Oreochromis niloticus: one gene and its partner. The protein of the gene in region 2 interacts with the protein of the main gene of each other region in a pairwise test. Links are inferred from orthologs where the notes say so. Each region holds a gene or a part of one and is shown on either strand. Other genes may lie near its edges.

Region 1 (9,581 bases), on a different chromosome or scaffold from region 2:
ATAGGTCCTGACTGTCATCTGTGCTTTTGCACCAACGGACAGTTCAGATTAGCCGGCCTTCTTGGGGTCACTGTGTGGGATGCTTTAGGGTGATCCATCTGGTGTTTCTGTCATCCTACTGGAAAACTTCAACGCTCACATGGGAAAAACAGTGAGACTCACCTCTGCTGTTTGCAGATGATGTGGCCTAGGTGGTTGCCTCCAGCTTACACTAGAGCAGTTTGGAGCCAAGTGCTAAGCAGCGGGAATGAAAATTAGCACCTCCAAATCTGAGGTTGTGGTCCTCAGCTGGAAAAGGACCACGACCAGTTGAGGTGGTTTGGGTATCTGATTAGGATGCCTCCTCGTCACCTTCTGGGTGAGGTGTTCTGGGTATGGCCCACCAGATGGAGGCACCGAGGCAGACCCAGGACATGCTGGAGAGATTACATCAATCTCCTTACAATGCGTGGAGAGTTTCAACCCAAATCCAGCACCTTGAGATTGTACACTAAGCGGAAGGAATGAGGCAGAGGACTGGTGAGTGTCAGAACCAGTCCAGGATGAGACAACAAGCATCCATGAGTACAGCAGGAAGATGGCCACAACTGACTGTGTGCTTAGAGAATAGCTTAGGCAGCAGAAGCCCAAGAAAGAAGAGGACCAAGAAGAAGAACCATCATGACAGAAAGGCCCCTGTATGTACCACCGGCAGATAGACGAAGTGGCTGGAAATCCTACCAGTGGCTGGACAAAGCCGGAGTGACAGCACATGGGTGGCTGTAGCTCAGGTGGTAGAGCGGGTGTCCTACTCACCGGAAGGTTGGTGGTTCGTAGTCTACATGCCAAATATCCTTGGGCAAGATATTAACCCCATGTTGCCCTCCGATGCATCCATCGGAGTGTGAATGCGAGTAGAAGCACGATAAACCTTAGATAAAGTGCTTGTGTGAATGGGTATGATGAGCGCTTTGAGTGCTCAGTGAGAGTAGAAAAGCGCTATATAAGAACCAGTCCATTTACCATTTACATAGGCACATAGAGGCTGGGGTCTACCACACCAGGCAAGACCCCAGGTGCAGGCTGTGTAAAGATGCCCCTGAGACAATCCAGCACATAACTGCAGGGTGTAAGATGCTAGCAGGCAAAACATACATGGAACACCATAACCAAGTGGCCGGCATAGTATACAGATACATCTGCACCAATTATGTCCTGAAGGTCCCGAGGTCAAAATTGGACACTCCTCCCAGTGTGGTTGAGAATGACCGAGTTAAGATTCTGTGGGACTTCCGGTTACAGACAGATAAACTGGTGATGGCCCACCAACCAGATACAGTAGTGGTGTCCAGAAGAGCGCAGTACTAGGAACAGCAAAGATACTGCGCAGGACCCTTAAGCTCCCAAGACTCTGGTAGACCCGAGCTTGAAGGATGAAGGGATTTTTTTTTTCTGGTTTTTATATCAATCAACATTATTATTTGTTTCAATATTTGAATACATTTTGTTCAAATGTACATTCGGATATTGAACCTATAGCTTTTTAGTTTCTACACATTCTACCGTACTTTTATTTATGCAACTATAACAGTATTATGAACTTCTTTTTGATTAATGACAACATTAACGTGTCACAAAAAGCCATTACATTTCTTTCCTCTGCATGAAGTTTGTCATATTATGACCTCTAAACTTCTAAGTATTGTGAAATATACAGCAAAAAGGTTCGTAACATTATAAGCTGTTATGTCTTTGATGCAGATAATAAATTACACAACAAAAATGCTGGTGCACCTGTCCTGCCAAGGCATCCCCGGCAGACTTTGCTTCCAAATCACGAACAAAGAGTTTCCCTCATTAGGGATGGGTATCAAAACCCGGTTCTTGTTGAGAACCGGTTCCCACTGTTTCAATTCCTTGGAAACGATTCCCTTATCGATTCCAGTCGCCCCGAATGACGTCACCACGTTGCGGAGGGTCATTTACCTGGCAGGAAACGCGGCTCAAACGCTAAAAAGTTTGGTTATACTTATAACGGATGACAACAGGGCAACTTGCAATACTTGCAAAGTAGATATTTCATTTAAAGGAGGAAACACTACGAATATGCAAAAGCATTTGCTCACAAAACACGCCATAACCTTAAATTAATGTCGTGTTTTTAATTCCGCTCCGGACTCGTGAATCTCAACCCAGCAGCAGCGGTAACGTTTGCACGTCCTCTCCCGTTAATGCGGCAGGTAAATAATCAACTAACAGTGCATGTTATGTTAGCGCGATCTGCTTTATTACAAAACCTGCCATTACTGTGCATTTAGGCGACCATGATGAGAGAGACAGAGTCTGGCAGTTCTCGCTGCAGTCTACCGTTAGCGTCTCCTTTCAGGCCAGGATAGACGAATGTCACCGAGCAGTGACTAAGTTTGTGGTCAAAGGCTTGCACCCATTTGCCACAGCAGATGCCCCCGATTTTCGGTAAGTGAATGTGTTTAATTGTAGGCAGGGAGGTTACTGGATAGTCTTGTGTAATTGCTACAGAATAATTTATGTTATACTTTGTTATTGCTACAGAAAAATATTTATTTTATTATTTTACATTTACATTTTTTTTTTCCTGGGGACCCTGTGACACCCCATTGAAGAGCCGTAGGCTGTGGATCTCTTAAGATCTCACTGTTGGGTTTGTAAGGCCATGTTACTCCTAAATTTCTATCTTGTTTAAAGAGAAGATATAAAACAAAGTTCTAAGCTAATCGACCTTAGTAATCTCCTTTTTTTAAAAGCAAGAATCGAGAAGAGAATCGATAAAGAACCGAATCATTAAACAGAATCGAAAATGGAATCGGAATAGTAAAAATCTTATCAATACCGATCCCTATTCATCATTCTTGATTTTTAGTTCACAAACACTTCTTCCAATGATCAACTACTCCTGAAATTTTGGAGTTTTAGCTCTTTATGCAGTAAAGTTACAGGAGGATTAAAATAATTAAGGGGCAAAATGCCGTCGGTTTGTTAAAATAATCTCATAAAGTGAGAACAATAAATGTATCATTTTCTGTTTGTAACCCACAAACTGAACGGTAAAGTAACGACAGTCATCTTTCAGTTTTTCACTAAAGTAAACATCACTACTTCCACGTCTCGCTGTTTGTAATGGAGGCGGAGTCAACCGGACGTGCTCCCGACGCAGGGGAAACAGACACCGCCGGGGATACCTACAGGCACACATTTTCTGGGCAGGCAAGTGACGTCAGCTCACCTCTGTGACAGCCCGATGTTTAGCGTTGCATTGGATATTGTCAACGTGTTATGACCGATAACCGTGTCAGGTGTATCTTACAGGTTTACTCAGTATAAACTGACAGGGACAATGACTGATCGGCATCGAGAAGAAGCAATGCTACCGAAAAAACCCAAATAAATAGCAGCGATGAGGCCCCCTCTGTTATGGCACACTGCTAAACATCCTGTTTACGGAGTGCATATTTTCGACGTTTAACATTAACGCGGGAGCATGTCTGTCCAAACAGCCAATTTAACATATGCGATAATATGATTGCTCGCTGCTAGCAGTCTTTGGCAGCCTATTTGGAAGTCAAAGAAACCATCATTCTCCTACCTTGACTTTGACACGAACAACACCCCTCTCCTCCTCGCCTTCCATCGTAAAGACTCCGTTTCGGAAAAGGATGGTTCTACCGAGCTTTGTCTGCTGTTTGTTTGCTTTTCTATCCTGACATGATGGAAGTGGCACTAGCCGAGTTCCTATGCTTGACGATATTCTGCTTCTTTTTTTCTTCCTTGTGTTTATTGGCTGTTGACAAACAACGAATTGGTGCATTACCGCCACCAACTGGTATGGAGTATGGACCAGAATATCATACAAATGCGTTTGTCTAAGATAATTAAATATTGCCTGATACCTTTTACCTCCTCAGTTATTTCTAAGTAAAGCGATGTGGTTGGTTTTATGGCCAGAGAGGAACTTGGGGAGAGTAATGAAGTATACAGCGTGTGAAAAACAGTCAGTTGTGAGAACGACAATGTTACCTGCAGATGGAGGCAGTCAGGTAACGAAATCCAGTGCAATGTGGGACCAGTGGCAATTCCAGGTATGATGCAGAAGACCAACTGGGAGAGTGGCAGAAGTTTTGTTTTGAAGACAGGTGGCACAGGCAGACATTCACTCAGACGTCTCTGAGACTTTTATCATTATTATTATTATTATTATTATTATTATTATTACTTTCTTTTCTTTAATATACCTGTATAGTTTCTATATGTTCATGTAAAGTTGGGGAACACGGGTCTAAGGATTCACATTATGGGTAAATGTTGCTACAATGTTGTCTGTATATGACATATGACAATAAACATGAACTTGAACTTTGGCTGGATGACAGGTGAATATTGACATGTATATTCTGAGACTGGACAACTGAAGCAACATAAAAGACATAGAGAAGCCGAGGCATTGCTGAAGATGTTTTCAAGTGGTTAGCTCTGGCCAATCCAGAACCGCTTGGACCTGAGCTGGGTTGGCTCTGATTTGACCCTTTTCAGTGATGTAGCCAAGGACGGAAACATTGTCAGCATGAAACTGACACATCCTACCTTTACACATCTAACTTGTTTTCTAGGAGCTGCTGGAGGACTCGACAAAGATGGGACTGAATAACACTGAGGAAGATGCTCATTTTATTCAGAAACACTGCTTTCAGTTCAGTTTCATTTTTATTTATACAGCACCAAATCACAACAACAGTCGCCAAAAGGTGCTTTATGTTGTAAGGCAGACCCTACAGTAATACAACAGAGAACCCAACAATCATATGACCCTGTTGGGGGAAATCTCCCAAATAGAAGGCTGCCAAAGTAAAACAGAGACACAGTGAGACAATATAATCAATCACATGTACATGGGTGAACGTCTCTAATGAGAGTCACACCAGTACACTTCTTTATTGCAGGTTATATAGGCATGTAGGTTACTCAACAGGGCGGAGGCAGTCTCCGCCTGTTCTCAGAATATAGATTGCAAATGCATATCTTGCTAAAGAATATAGATTGCTTAACAGACAAATGCATATCTTGCTAAAATGTTCTGTTCATACTATACTAAACATCTGCTTAAGTGGAACTTTCCGTTCCTCTTCACAGGAACTTGTCTTCACCGGCATATGATAAGCATAGGCAAGGCTTCATGTTTATCAGGGTGAATCGTCATTCAGAGTTTACACAATCACAAGCAAAGCATATCATTCAGAGTTTTACACAGTTACAAGCAAAGCATATTTGAATAATAAACAAAATCTTTTCACAGACCCCCTATTAGTAAGCGCTTTGGTGACAGTCATCTGGAATATTTTTTTCATTCACTGCAAACTCCTCACATGAGTTGTATTAATTTATTCTAGTCTGTGTGTACATGCCATGTCAAGCCCAGTGCTTGCTTGCTCAGCAAATGCTGTGTGGAGCAGACAAACAGGGACTCCTTAGTCATTGTTCTTGGTGATTTGACCCAGGGAAACTTCAGTCCGGAGTTCCCCAAATACAATTTATTAACTTCTTAAGCCCCTCTTGCCCATGGGAACAGGTTTAGTACAATGTGATGCAAAGTCTATTTAAATACAGACATCAGTCGTAGCTTTAGAAAACTCAGAATCTCAGTTAAAAGCTCATGAAAACATTTTTGTACAACCCCCAACAACAGCTGAAACAACTAAAAGAGCAGGAAATCAAATTCTGCAAAATGACTGAGATGGCTTGGCCAAAGTGGCTGAAGCAGCACAGGAAACAGATGCTGACCAATGTAGCAGGTGATTTATTTACAAACATCGTGACAAAAAATATTTACAAAAATCAATAACTCAAAAGCTGACTTGGACAAATAAACATAACGAAACTTAAACCAACCAAAATGAATCTCATATGCACACTGACCTAGTCCTCTTCTCTTGAACAACTAAATTCTTTTGTTTAAATACTCTCAAGCTATACAAACAAAATTGCCTCCAATGGGCTATTCCATACAAATAGAATACAGTCATCCAGGTAAGACACATACATGAGACTAAATATTATAATCATCCTCTTACTTACTTTTCACCAGCAACAAAACACACACTTCTAAACTGTAGCCATTACATTTTACAATAATACATTCAACACTAAAGCAAACAAAACCCTAAAATGGACAGTTTTCTTCCCTCTCTTCACCTTGTCCCTTTCTGTGAAGTCACCAATAAACAGGAAGCTATAAATACAGGAAGTGAGTGTGAACTTCCTCTCACAGAGTAAAATGCACAAATTAACAGAAGCCTGCAGTGTGAGAGCGAAGGGCTCTAATAGGGTGATATGGTACTATGAGGCCATTAATGGGAAGCATGTATAATAATCTGAACATACATGCTTCCCTTAGGCAGTATCATGTTAACAGCATTGGTCCTAGCACTGAACCCTGTGGAACACCATAATTAACCTCAGTGTGTGAAGAGGACTCTCCATTTACATGAACAAACTGGAGTCTATTAGATAGATATGATACAAACCACTGCAGCGCAGCACCTGTAGTACCTACAGCATGTTCTAATCGCTCTAATAGGATATTATGGTCGACGGTATTGAACACTGTGCTTTCCTCTGCACCGTGGCTGTTATGCTCACCTGTCATTGATCCAGGACTATCAACAGGCAAGCTGTGGTTACAACAGTAGCTTGCCTCCACCAGTGTGTGAATGTGAGAGTGAATGAATAGTGGCATTGTAAAGCACTTTGGGTGCCTTGAAAAGCGCTATATGAAATCCAATCCATTATTATTTTTATTATTATTATTTAAGACCAGTGTCCACATCTGTTCCTCGCCAGTTTGTTATCTAACCCGTGTTAGTAACAGGCCACCTTTGCTTCACATGTCACATCTATAATTAACTTACCTCGTTCTCACATTGTGTGCAGTTTGCATTTCTACCCGGATGCTGTTCACCATTTTGGAAATCCTCAAGCCGCTTCAGGTTTTCTGGATCATGCTTCACCGCCTGCCTGCCTGCCTGCCTGCCTTCCACTGCTCTGGATCACTGTACAAACCAATTTGGATTCACTTCACACTCCCATCTCTCTGGACACTCACCTGGTCAATATTACTTCCCCCAGGAGCTTCTTCTGCTCCTCCTGCCAAGTAAGACACAAGATTCTCCCTAGCCTTCTCCTCCCAGCACATTAAGCAATCTCTCCTTGTGCAATTGTTTAGAATAGAATAGAATAGCTTTTTATTGTATAGTTTTATGTTTTGCACTAAAGCTTGTGTGAGAACTTGATGTCTGTGATTGAATCTGTGTGTGGGTCCTGTTGTGACACCACCCACTCAACTACTGGTCCATCCTGGGCCCTGCACCCAGATCTGTGCAAGGGAGACCAGCCACCCACCACCCCAGGCCCCACATCCCAAGACCACAAGGCAGCACTCCCCACAGCCACCCACCACCACCGACCAAAGCAGACATACGTGTGCCACAAAACAGCAGCTGCAGCTTTTAAGACCCCAGAAAACTGCCAGACTTCCTTAGACCCAGAGTCCACCCCCAGCCACCTGCAAGCCACACAGGGAAATGTGACTATAGCTGACCACCCCCAACTAGGTAAAGGAATTGATCAGTGCAGACCAATAAGAAATAAATTCATTCAATAGTTTTTTTGTTTGTTCGTTTTTTCGAGGAGACAGACATTTTTTTCCAAACTAATGTGATCTAGAAGTAAAGTTCTGCATTGAGTAATACACAAACTGTTTTTTTCATTTGCAGTTATGAGGATAGTTTTCTTAGCAATGCATAGGGCAGTAAGGACTATATGTGATGTTTTTGTTTCCATATCTAATTCACTTACGTCAGCCAAGATGCTCAGCTTCAATGAGGGTGGGATACAGCAATTAAACCATGTGGATAGTCTTCACATAACCTCTGCCAAAACCTCTGGACAGGTACACAAGACCACATAGCAAGCACTTGTAGACCTCCTCTACCTGCTTTTCCCTGTGTAACCTTGTTCTCCTTGAGTTTAGAGGTTGTTGTTTCTCACAGTTTGGACTCACCTGGACATCTGTTTCGCCTCCTTGTCTGCTTGCCTGCTATTACACCCCAGACAGTCTGGAAACCCCCATGGACCTCCCCTCCTCAGAGCTTTCAAAGCCCAGACCAGCAAGTCTCTGGCAGATATCTGGATTGTTAAATGGATGTTAGTTTACATGGGATAAGTTAAGAATGAGCTATTTTTAAAAATTCCCACCAGGCTTTCAGAGAGGTGTTTATGTTAAGGCTTTTAAAGCAGTTATGATGCTTAATGCTTTCTAAGCTTATGAAAGGCAGACTAGAGATTTTTACTTTCCCACACAATGCTTCTTCCAGCCACAGGAGAGCTTGATTTGATCCATTTTGAAAGATATAGCAATCTATTGGTCAAGAAGGAGTAATACAATTTTGGTAGTTGTAGACCACCATTGAAAACTCTATTAAAGCCAAAAAAAACCCAACTTATACGTGATGGTTTATTTTTCCACAGACATTTCAAGACGTTTGAGTCTAGTGACTTAAACCAGGCAGTAAAGACTTTATTAGAGATCACCGAGAACCAGTTGTCTATTTGAAACAGAACCATCATTTTAAGTGGTGCGACTCTTCCCATGAGTGATATAGGTAAAGTATTCCAATGTGTGGGATCTTCTTCTTCTTCTTTATTTTTAGTGGCAGAATATGATTTAATTGTACCAAGTGTGAGAGCTTGGTCGGAAAATCTATACCTAAATATCTAATATTACGTAATTGTAGTGGACTGGTGGAGGTGTTCTGAAATTTGCAGTTCAGAGTTAGAACTGTTGATTTACTCCAGTTAATCGAGTAGTCTGATATGGATGAGAACTTATCTATGAATGTTATTGTCTTCAGAAGGAAAAGCAATACATCAGCAGCATATAGCCTTATCTTATGGTCTGTATTTTCAGTTTGAATTCCTTTAATATCTACATTGTGCTGCTGCTAGTGGTTCGATGAAAATGAATAAAAAGCAATGGGGCAGCTCTGTCTGGTGCCCCTCTTTAGATTTAGAAAGCTCTGGGATGTAACATAATTTGGCCTAACGGATGCATTTGGAGAGCTGTATAGTGTTTTCATCCAATTTATCAAGAATGAATCAAAGCAATAATCTATTACATTAATTAGTCTCTGTGTATTATTGGCTGAGTGTCTGCCTTGATAAAACCTGTTTGATCAGCATGTATTTATGAATGGAGGGAGTTTTTCGAATCTTCTTGCAAGGGCTTTGCAAAGCATTATAATGTCTACATTTATGAGTGAGATTGGGCAGTAGCTGGGGTGCCCATCTTTCTAATCATGCCTCCCTTATTTTTAGTATCTGGTAAGAGGGTAGGTGGCAGAGCACCTTATGACGACGCTAAAAAGCAGTGTCAGAAGCTGGTCTGTGGAAGAGGAGAGTGGGAGTGTGACAGCGCAAGCAGGACATGCTGTGCGAAGGAGAAACAAAGTGTGCAAAGCATACACATGGGTAGTGAATGTCATTTCACAGACTCGTGCCATGGAAAAGCATGTGTA
Region 2 (9,617 bases):
AGGCCACGAATCTACACCTAAGGTGAACAACTACCGAAACACACTACATGCCAAAAAAGGTAGGATGCCACTGGACAAAGTGACTTGTGTCTGTGTGTTTTTTTTCTCCTAGAAAGTCATACACTGCAGCTGTATTTCTGTATTAATTATAGTTAATATTTTAAAAGAAAAACCTCTGTGAGAAACTAGTTGATTTATTGAGTTCAACCAAAAAAAAAAGAGAAAAAGTCAGCTCTGAATACATGTCTGGCAGGTGGGGTTAAGAACACCAGCTGTATGAGTATTAGCTGCGAGTGTTTCCTCTGACTAAAATGATGTCTACGCATCACACCTTAAAAACCCAACTAAAACTCACTGACTGGAAATACATCTTCCTCATTCTTCATGTGTAGATGAATGATTACACACTGCACTAAAAGACTGCCAATCTTACTGGTACTGACCATCTTACTAAGCACACCTGGAAGATGGAAGCCTTAATGATTACTTTTCACAATAAAAGCCTCACTGAACATTGATTAACCTGGAGATCGGAGGTTTTTCTGGTGTTTAAACTTGTGGATTTGCTTTGGCTCAGCAGAGCAGTTACAAGGTAACAAGACGACACACCCAAGTTAAACTTGTCCAACTACTACTCCATGACTGGCTTTAGATTTTGATAACATGTAGCTGTACAGACCAGGAACCATCATATCTACTTTAGGGTGAAGATAAGACCAAGACAAGATGTGTTATATTCTAGGGAATAAAACATAGAAGAAACAAATAATTATAAAATAAAATTATTAAATACAGTCATACAAATGTGTAAAAACTGACATTTTAACTGACCGCCTAATGAAAATACAAAAAACGATCACAGTCAAAGATGCTCAAACAAACACTTTGTACCAACTGTGTGGTACACGGTAGTGTTTTAGACATTTTAAACAATCATAAAAAAGAAAAGAGAAGAGTTCTTCCAGAAGATGTCCCTTTCTCTTTCAGACACATTGTTCACATACAAAGGCAGGCAAATTGCCCCACACTTTGTCCACAAAGTTGCCACAAGCCAAGCTGATGTTGTCTAACTAGTTAGTTAAGTAGTTAGGTGGTGGCAAAAATGAGCAAGTTCTACTCATACCAGTGATTCACCCACTGAATTACATGCCTTGCAGACCTATGCACTGGGCTTTTTTTTGTTTTTTTGCCCAAGCTATAGCCTGGTATTAGCATTGTTTACGATAAAATATAGCTCTAGAAATTTTCAATTTTAACAAGGGAATAAAGAACCAGACAAATCTTATCATTTCATACTGTTATACCTGTTCAGCTAACATCTATTGACTTATGTTCACTAATAAAGGTGGGCTGAATCATTTATTCCTGTATTGACTAAATATGATTGGGTGCCATCCTGCTGGTATGCTGGTAAGCAAGAGATAAACTCCCCACTGTCTCCTTCCCCTCTCTTCCTGCATGTAGAGCAACTCGTAAGCAGCTTCGCTGTTCCCAGCCACCGCTAAGTAATTAGCAATAAGCACTGTAGCATATGAACAGTGCTACATACATTGTTTGCAAGATTAAATCCCTTCTACCCAACCCACCTTAGTTTAAGATGATCCGATCAGTCTGACTTGCATCATAGTATGATCACAACATTGCAGGCTAGTTTCTTACTTAAAATGACCTGGCTCCTATACATAAGTGTAACTGCTGACCTCTTTGTTGACAGAAATCACATGATCTAGTATAAGTAAACATCATGACTCCTGCACCTTTGAGTCTCATCATTGACAATGCTGGAAAAATATATTTTACCCAAGCAAACGCTGGATAGGCTTTTGCTTCTGAGAATCACGCTTGATGTATCTCTCAGCCCCAGATGAACTGAGCCAGACAGAACACAGCCAGATATAGTGGGATTATGTAAAGTTGTATTAAAATGACATATTATATGCAGAAAATTATGTTTTTACAGTTATTTACTGTTGTATACAGTTACTACTACTGTCCCTAAACCTTTTTAGAAGCCTTTCTACTGATCACAACAACAAATCAGTGAGCCAATTAGATTTTCAGCTGGCAGACTAATGTTAGGTTTCTTTCCAGGGATTTCTGAAAGTGATCCCAAACACCCCACACTAAATTTGTAATGTCATATGATGAGAAGATGATAGCTATGGAACATTTGGCCCAGCCGTTTTTTTGACACTAATATTAATTACATGTTATGTCCTGGACACCAGATATTTTACTTAAAAAATAAATACAATTTCTCCCTAGAAATATGCTTGAAGAAAAAAAAAAACGAGGCTAGCACTGCAATGCCCGCGTGTGTGCTGAAAAAAGCCTCGTGAGGTAAAAGTAAGTGGCGCACAGATGGAGTATTTCTGGTCTAGACATCTGTGTAATCAAGCTGGGACCTTTTCAACACTCACTACTGAAGATAAACAACATACTTGCACGAAATCATAACAGCAGCAGGCAGAACGTGACCCTGCTTGGCAATAACAGTGTAGTAAACATGAAGCCCACTACAGTGTACATCATCTAAGACAAAACTACATATCCTCACAATGGGAGTGTTTCCCCAATATCTATTTACTCTGAAAATTTTCTAGCTGCTTCTTGCTATCGCTGGCAGTTTATCTTACTAAAGCTCTCGTTGTACCTCACAGCTGTAAGACCTGCCTGCTTTTCTAAAACTGGTGCTATAACAGTATAATATAACGGTATAATATAGAAATGTACCTGGAACCACACAGCGGTAGCCCTCATCAGTACAGCCTGCTAACAGTAAACAGATGACAACACTGCCGGCTAATTGAGTGGTTTCCAGCACAAGATATACAAAACTACATTTTGGTAAATGAAGCGCAAAACATGAAACCGTGCAACGACTCCAAATCGCGAGGATATATGTAGCCAGAAATTAGATCTGGTCTACGCCATTTCAGGGAATATTAGAGGTGCAGCTTGGCGTCTTGGCCTTCTCTGACAAGAAGCTAGGCTAATGTTTAGTAATTATAAGACATGTACAATAACAGAAATTGGTAGTGTGGTTGTCTGTCGTATGTAGCTGCAGTCAGTGAAGCGTTATTTGGATGTCGTGACAGCCGGTTGCTAAATATTTGGTGGAAAAGCTAATGCTACTTAGCTGGGCTGGCAAGCTGTGGCTAACACCCCCACCCTCGACGCAAAGGGACAAAAGGCCCAAACATTTATCAGCCGCTATCAACCTTGACACAAGCTACTCCAAGGCAGCTTGTGTCAAGATTCCTGTGTGGATTTTTAACACTGCCAGGGGTCGCTTATTGTTATCTAAATATGTTAACAGAGAAGGATTGGAGCTGTCATCCCACCCCTTCTGTCTCTGCTTTTACCACGTCATTGAACTATCCAACACTGCGGAAATACGCCGCTAGCTAGCGGCTAAGAGCTAGGTAAATGCTAACTGGCAGTCTAGCTGCCACTTGCTGTAACTTACCCGTGTCTCCGATGATGATGTATTTGAAGAGGTACGCATACGCCATGACCCCTGGTTTGTGCAGTTAGCTGTCTAGCCCGTTACACCTTCGTAAAATCGACCGTTAACCGTGTAAAGAAAGTGGCTGACAGACTGTTAGCCCGTTTCTCTCTGTCCGTGCTGAGGAAGGAACAATAAACAGCCAGAGCCTCGGCTCGACGTCACACGGTCCGCCCTCGCCACGCTACACAATGAGATCTTCAGGGTCTGCTCGGAAATTTACGATGCATTTCACTACTTCCACTCTTAGTGGAAATGATGGGGGGAAAAAAATCACCTTTCTTCTAAAAAAAAAGTCAGGAGGTATTAGATTCACTTCACTTTGTTGTTAAATAAATAAAAAATGAAATAAAAAGGGAGCAGAGATCACTGCTACCACTTTCACAACATATACAACAAATTCAAGAATAAAAAAGGTAAATGAAACCACACCGTGAAGCGGTATGCATAATACCATAAACAGTACCACATAGCAATGGCGATTCTAGGCTCAAACCTTTAGGGGGGGTCAGCTCCCAATCATAATGTCATGCATGCAGTGCAGTGTAATTAGTATTAATGGAATATGTTTTTTGCAAAAAATATAATAAACCCCTTTTACAGTTGCAAACCTCAATTCAATTGGATAAACATTACAATGTTACCTTCAAAAGCAGCCTAATAGTTGGATGATCAATTGTAGTGTCAAAGAATAAGTCAGAGTGAGTAATCAGAGATTTCAATCTAATACACCATTTTAGTGTGGAGCATTTAGTTATTAAACTCAAGCCAAAGGCTCAGTCATTAAAGAAGTTACTGAATTATTTGTGGCAAAGCAGATAAGATGAGAAACATGCACAACACTATTCCAGTCTCTCAATCACACAGAGGCAGTCCACCAAATCATCAAGCACTTAAAGTGGCATTAATCAGTACAGACAGTAGAAAATCATCCTGCCACTCTATAGTGGCAGGACACAAAGCAAACTGTAGTAGAGCTGTTTTATATTAAAGCTTTTAAATCCTGCAAAATGCTACAATTCATATCAATATGTCCTGTTCAGAATTTCCATTGGCATTTTTAAGTGTGCTACTGGAAAGCATGCAAAGCATCCACAAAATACATGAAAAACTACTTTATGAAAAATAACTTTTGTTTTTTCCAGCTAACTTCACTGTGTGCTCCCTCAATCTTCCTGTTCTTCTACAACCTCTCTGTCCTCTCTCTCTCTCCATCCTCTTCACTCAGCTAGAAGCTAGAAAATGACAACAAATATAATCTCATAATAGTTATTATAGAACAGTAATAAGTATAAGAGGGGTATCCACAACTGACAACAGGACAGCAGACTGCTTACATACGCAAACTCATCATCAATGAATGTGGGAAACCTACAGCTTCATCATTTTTGGTGAATTTGACTACATTTCCACTCTTACCAGTTTCTTTTTGCTCTCTTTGCTGTCTTCATCCTGTTCTCTCTCTTTCTCTCCCTCTCTGTCCTCTCTCAGTCTTAAAACTTAAATGTTACAGTGAATAAAAGGCATAAACTGATCCATATCAGTTTATAGCAATATTCAAACTGAATACAGGCTGCAGCTGGACATAGACAGGTTAGACATAGACACATTATTTTGGCTTGCTGTCACTTGGATTTGGAGCTGTAGTGTAAACAAACACTGAAGCCAAATTGCTTGAGCAGCCCAAAAAACAGTTTTAACTCACCTATGCCCCATAGTGAATGCCTTTCAAGTTTCAAGTGAGACCATGCTTCATCAGCTTTTTTTTTTGTTTCAAAAAGACATATATATGAATTTACAGACTTCCCAAGGTCCATGTCAGCTGAAGGGACAGGGTAACCTGGGCCTGGACCCCTGGGAGCCATTCATCACACAAGCATTGACTTGGGATGACAACTTTTGGCAATAAGATGTGGACAGCCACTTTGGGGCCCACAGTGGTTGAAATGTTATGAGGCCACGATTGTGTTTTGATGCTCTAACAGTCTCCTGCTGGCAGGTCAGCAGTCACGGCCTGGATCCAACCTCCACCACTTCTAACGTCCTCTGTTCCTCCTCCGGGTTTCTTAGTTCTCCTCTGTCCACTGTGGGACTTCATATATTATGATGAGCCACATCTACCTGGGGAGCAGGCCATATTGGTACAGTCATGCCTTAAGCCTCCCCAGTAGTCAGATTTATTCGTGTCCTTCAGCGGTCCCTCTGCTTGTGGTGCTTCTTGTGTTGTGGACGTTGTTTCTGTCGCTTGGTGAATTGTCATACCACTTTCTCAGATTGCACTTGTCAGCGATATTAACCTAGAACCTAGAACCCATTTTGCCTGCATGTTGGAAGATGTCGTGACTGTAAGGTATGAAGCCCCTTATTGCCAGTTGTCTTACGTTTTCCACTGCTCCAATGATAGTGACGTCACGATGAAGTTAATGCTCATAGCAAACAGGAATGGTGACGATCTCTTTCTGTAGGTAGTCTTTGGCCTTGAAGCGGTGCTTGAACCCTCTCAGGTAACTGCTGATTATTACCTTGATGTGGTCTGGGATGTGATAGTGCTTCAGTGCTGTTCTGAGAAGATTGTGAGGAATTAGCCGAGTCCAGCCAGACTGCTGTCAGATTTCTTTGACCTGGCTTTCACGTATAATCTTGCTCAGGACCAGGGCCATTTTTTTTTTTTTTGCCATTTATCTGGGTTTGGGTCATTGAGGCAGCAGACTAAGAAAAGATGCTCAGACCCACTTCTTACCTGGCTATAGCCTCTAGGTTATCCAGCAGAAATGTTTTTGACCAATGCTTTCCCAAGGCAAGTAAGAGTCATCATCTCTCCAGCATGTTCTCTCCCAGTTACACATGCAGGATCCATCCTCATCAGGTGTTCTCTCTGAGTCGTCCTAGATGAACAAGCTCCTCACCTGTCTCTATGTCCCTGAAGTCAACTTGGGCAGCTGGGGATGTGACTGCCAAAGCCACTGACTCTTACTTGATCTACAAAGCACCAGACCCTTATAGCTCCCTCTGCCTCCACAGGAGGGTGGACTCATGAGTCTTGTTCTGGGTCCAGGCCCAGTGGGCTAAGGCTCGGCCACTCAGTGCTCATTTGAATGACACTTAATCTGAAGACCATTTTGCTTTGGGAGGCCCACCAGAAAAAGTTTCTCTCGACAACACAGGTCTTAGGAACATGGTGATGGATGGAGGGGTTATTACAGTAAATCAGTGCAAAATATTAGACCATAAAAAAAATAAATCTAAAGAAAGCAAAACAACATAAATCTGGGCAGACAGAATTATCAGCAAGTTCAGAAAACCAGCCCGAAAGGCCTGGAAATAATATGACATCTGTGAGTAAGTTTAAAAAAAAAACCCCAAACAAACCCAAAACATCCATTTGTAAGAAAACCATTCACTTCTCCATTACTCCTTGAGTAGTTTTACAACGCTTTAACATCAATTTAAATGGGATTTTTCTGATTTAACATTATCTTGAAATAAAGTGTTATCTCTTTTTAATTCAAATGTGATTTTTTCACATTTTTAAAAGGAACAGCTGGAAAATAAAATGCATCATCTTAGGCAGCTATTCTTTCAATAAATTAAAAAAGCTACAATTTTCCACAAAATAGACCCAGCCTTATTTCAATCGCAGACTCTCAAAATTGCGCACTATTCTGATGATATTCTGATGTTATGTTTTAGGACATTCATTTTCTGGATAGACCTGTCTATATCTACTTGTAATCCCAAAATGTAACAATTTATGTTCCGAGTTACTTTTGCCCTCATGACATTTTGTATGTCGTCACAGTGAGACACAGAAAATAAATTTGACTTAAACAAAAAAGTAATGACACACAATGAAAACAATGTTGCCTTTGATTCCAGCCCACATCTAAGTTCCAAGCTCAACAGACAGCTGTGTTTACAGCATGTATTCAAGAGTTAAACCAACCGGTTACAGGTGGACATTTTAAAAGCAGTGATGTAACCTAGTCCTTGAACTTTAAATGGATCATTGTATTGTAGAAAACAAATTTTCAACCATGTAAAAACCTGAAAGGAAACTCTGTGGCCATTATTCACTGCACAGAAGAGCAGTGGCTCTTTGCAGTGCCTTAAACCTGGATTCTTTTTAGCACAGGGCCAGCAGAGGGCGACTCCTCTAATTGTAGATAAGTGTAAGGAAAATGCCTTTCAGTTTTTTTGATCTGTAACTTCAGTTATACTTAAGATTGTAAGTTAAGCTTTATTAAATAGAACGCAGTGCTGATTTCAGATATTATTATACCCCCAGTCAGAGTCAAAAAGAAACATAGAATAGGGAATGACATAGGACCTACCTTCAGTTCTAGCCAGTAAGCTTGCAATATCAGTCCTGACATGCAGGGGTGGATCTAGAGAAATATTCCTAGGATGGCGTGAGGGTGACAGGGAAATCACATGGGGTGGCAAAATCAATGTGCAGGTGTTACATTCTGTAATATTTATTATATATGCTTAAAATACACCAAATGCAGTAAGTATACACCTGTTTCCTATAAACATGGTCAGTAACCTTCTTATTGGCTTTAGGCCAAATAATAAAACATTTCCGTTACATAAAAAATGTGCATTTTGATTTTATATATAGGCTACTGTGTAGCCTATATATTAAATAAACATGTAGCTCAATAAGTATAAAATCCAGAATACTACACAACATGAGGTGGATCAGTTGGAAATACAATTTTTCTAATTTAAGTTTCACATTCTTGTGTTAGAAATAATCAAACTGTTACATGCTTACAAAATGTCAGGAATCTGCACTGTCATGACCAAGTTTTTCACCAAAAATTTGAAGTGATTTTTTTTATGATTTATGGGGTTATGATGCTCACCTTCATTCAGTTTCCAGAGTGTAACAATCAACCACCTGTGTTGAAATCTGAAATGCCCATGATGGTGATTCAAAATATGCTCTGGCACAATCACAGATATCAGTTGCTACTGACAACAAGAAATACATTTTTAATTTTTTGAATCTATATTGAATTTTAACTAGCTAGGCTCAAAGTGTTAATGCTAGCTTATTTTAATAAAAAAACAAAACAAACATTGTCATATGTCAGAGGATTTGCTTTTTTTTTTATTCAGCTATGATGACACTCGCAAAATTGAGAAAAGAAAAAGAAAAAAGATCCAAGGCTCTCTATCTTCTTTACTGTGAGGGTAAATATAACACAATACCACTTGATGGCAGCAAGCAAACAGGTAAATGCAAAGCATGAAAAGAATTTTCCAAAGAGCTAATTAAATACTCATTATTGACATGCTGAGCTGTAGTGACTAATTGTTTCTTACAGAGCAAGGTAATCTGACTAAATGTGACGTGTTTGATGGCAGAAAGCAACAGGAGGAAATCACTCTGGACAGGAGAAGACATCTGCATTGGTAAAGAACATACACTAAAGAAGTGAATAGGTGTCACTAGCTAAGTCCATCAGATTGATTGAAATACCAGTATTAAATAGAATAATTAGAGGCTAAATTCTGCTGGTTTTGAGTAATATCTCAGCAAATTCATTGTATTTGAGTATCACCACAAGAAAGTGGCTGTGAATTCAGTAATCAAATAATCTATGAAATTTCTACATTTGATCAGTTTGTCTTAATTTCTTTACATCTGAAGTAGAATATATCAGACAAGTTCTTCATCTTACAACTTACAAGGCACTGGAAGGCATGCAGCCACTGACTGCTTTAATTATTAATAAAAAGTAAAGGAAACAAAACTCAAAGTAGTATGCAACAGTGTTCCTACCTAAAAAAAACCTCAGCTCATAGCTTAAGGTCTTGTGTTTGATTACACAACCACCACACGTTCCGTCTCCAAACAGGGATTTAGTTGCTCTTCCTGGGTGATACTATTACAATTTAAGAACGCTCATATGTCATTTCAGCAGGAACTCCTATAAGGTTTTTTGGGAGTCAGAGGGTAACAACCTGTTCTGTTACTTAAGTAAAAGGATATGTTGTGTAATTTAACAATTTAAGTGCAAATTAGACTTCTGCACTTCCTCTTGGCTCTTGGAAAACCTAGCAAATCCCATGATTTGGTAACTTTGGGAATTTCAGATGG

The links.
Region 1: the proteins of rab2a (region 2) and tbc1d25 interact in binary tests that used the Homo sapiens proteins (3 or more experiments, as listed by UniProt). The link is inferred for Oreochromis niloticus from reciprocal best matches to the Homo sapiens genes RAB2A and TBC1D25.

Annotation. Positions count from the first base shown.
Region 1 is NC_031984.2:36,193,335-36,202,915, forward strand, and holds the start of tbc1d25 (TBC1 domain family member 25), read right to left. Parts: upstream 3,803-9,581; 5' UTR 3,647-3,802; coding exon 3,602-3,646; intron 1-3,601. UniProt on the Homo sapiens protein: Acts as a GTPase-activating protein specific for RAB33B. Involved in the regulation of autophagosome maturation, the process in which autophagosomes fuse with endosomes and lysosomes.
Region 2 is NC_031982.2:2,292,144-2,301,760, forward strand, and holds the start of rab2a (ras-related protein Rab-2A), read right to left. Parts: upstream 3,687-9,617; 5' UTR 3,516-3,686; coding exon 3,470-3,515; intron 1-3,469.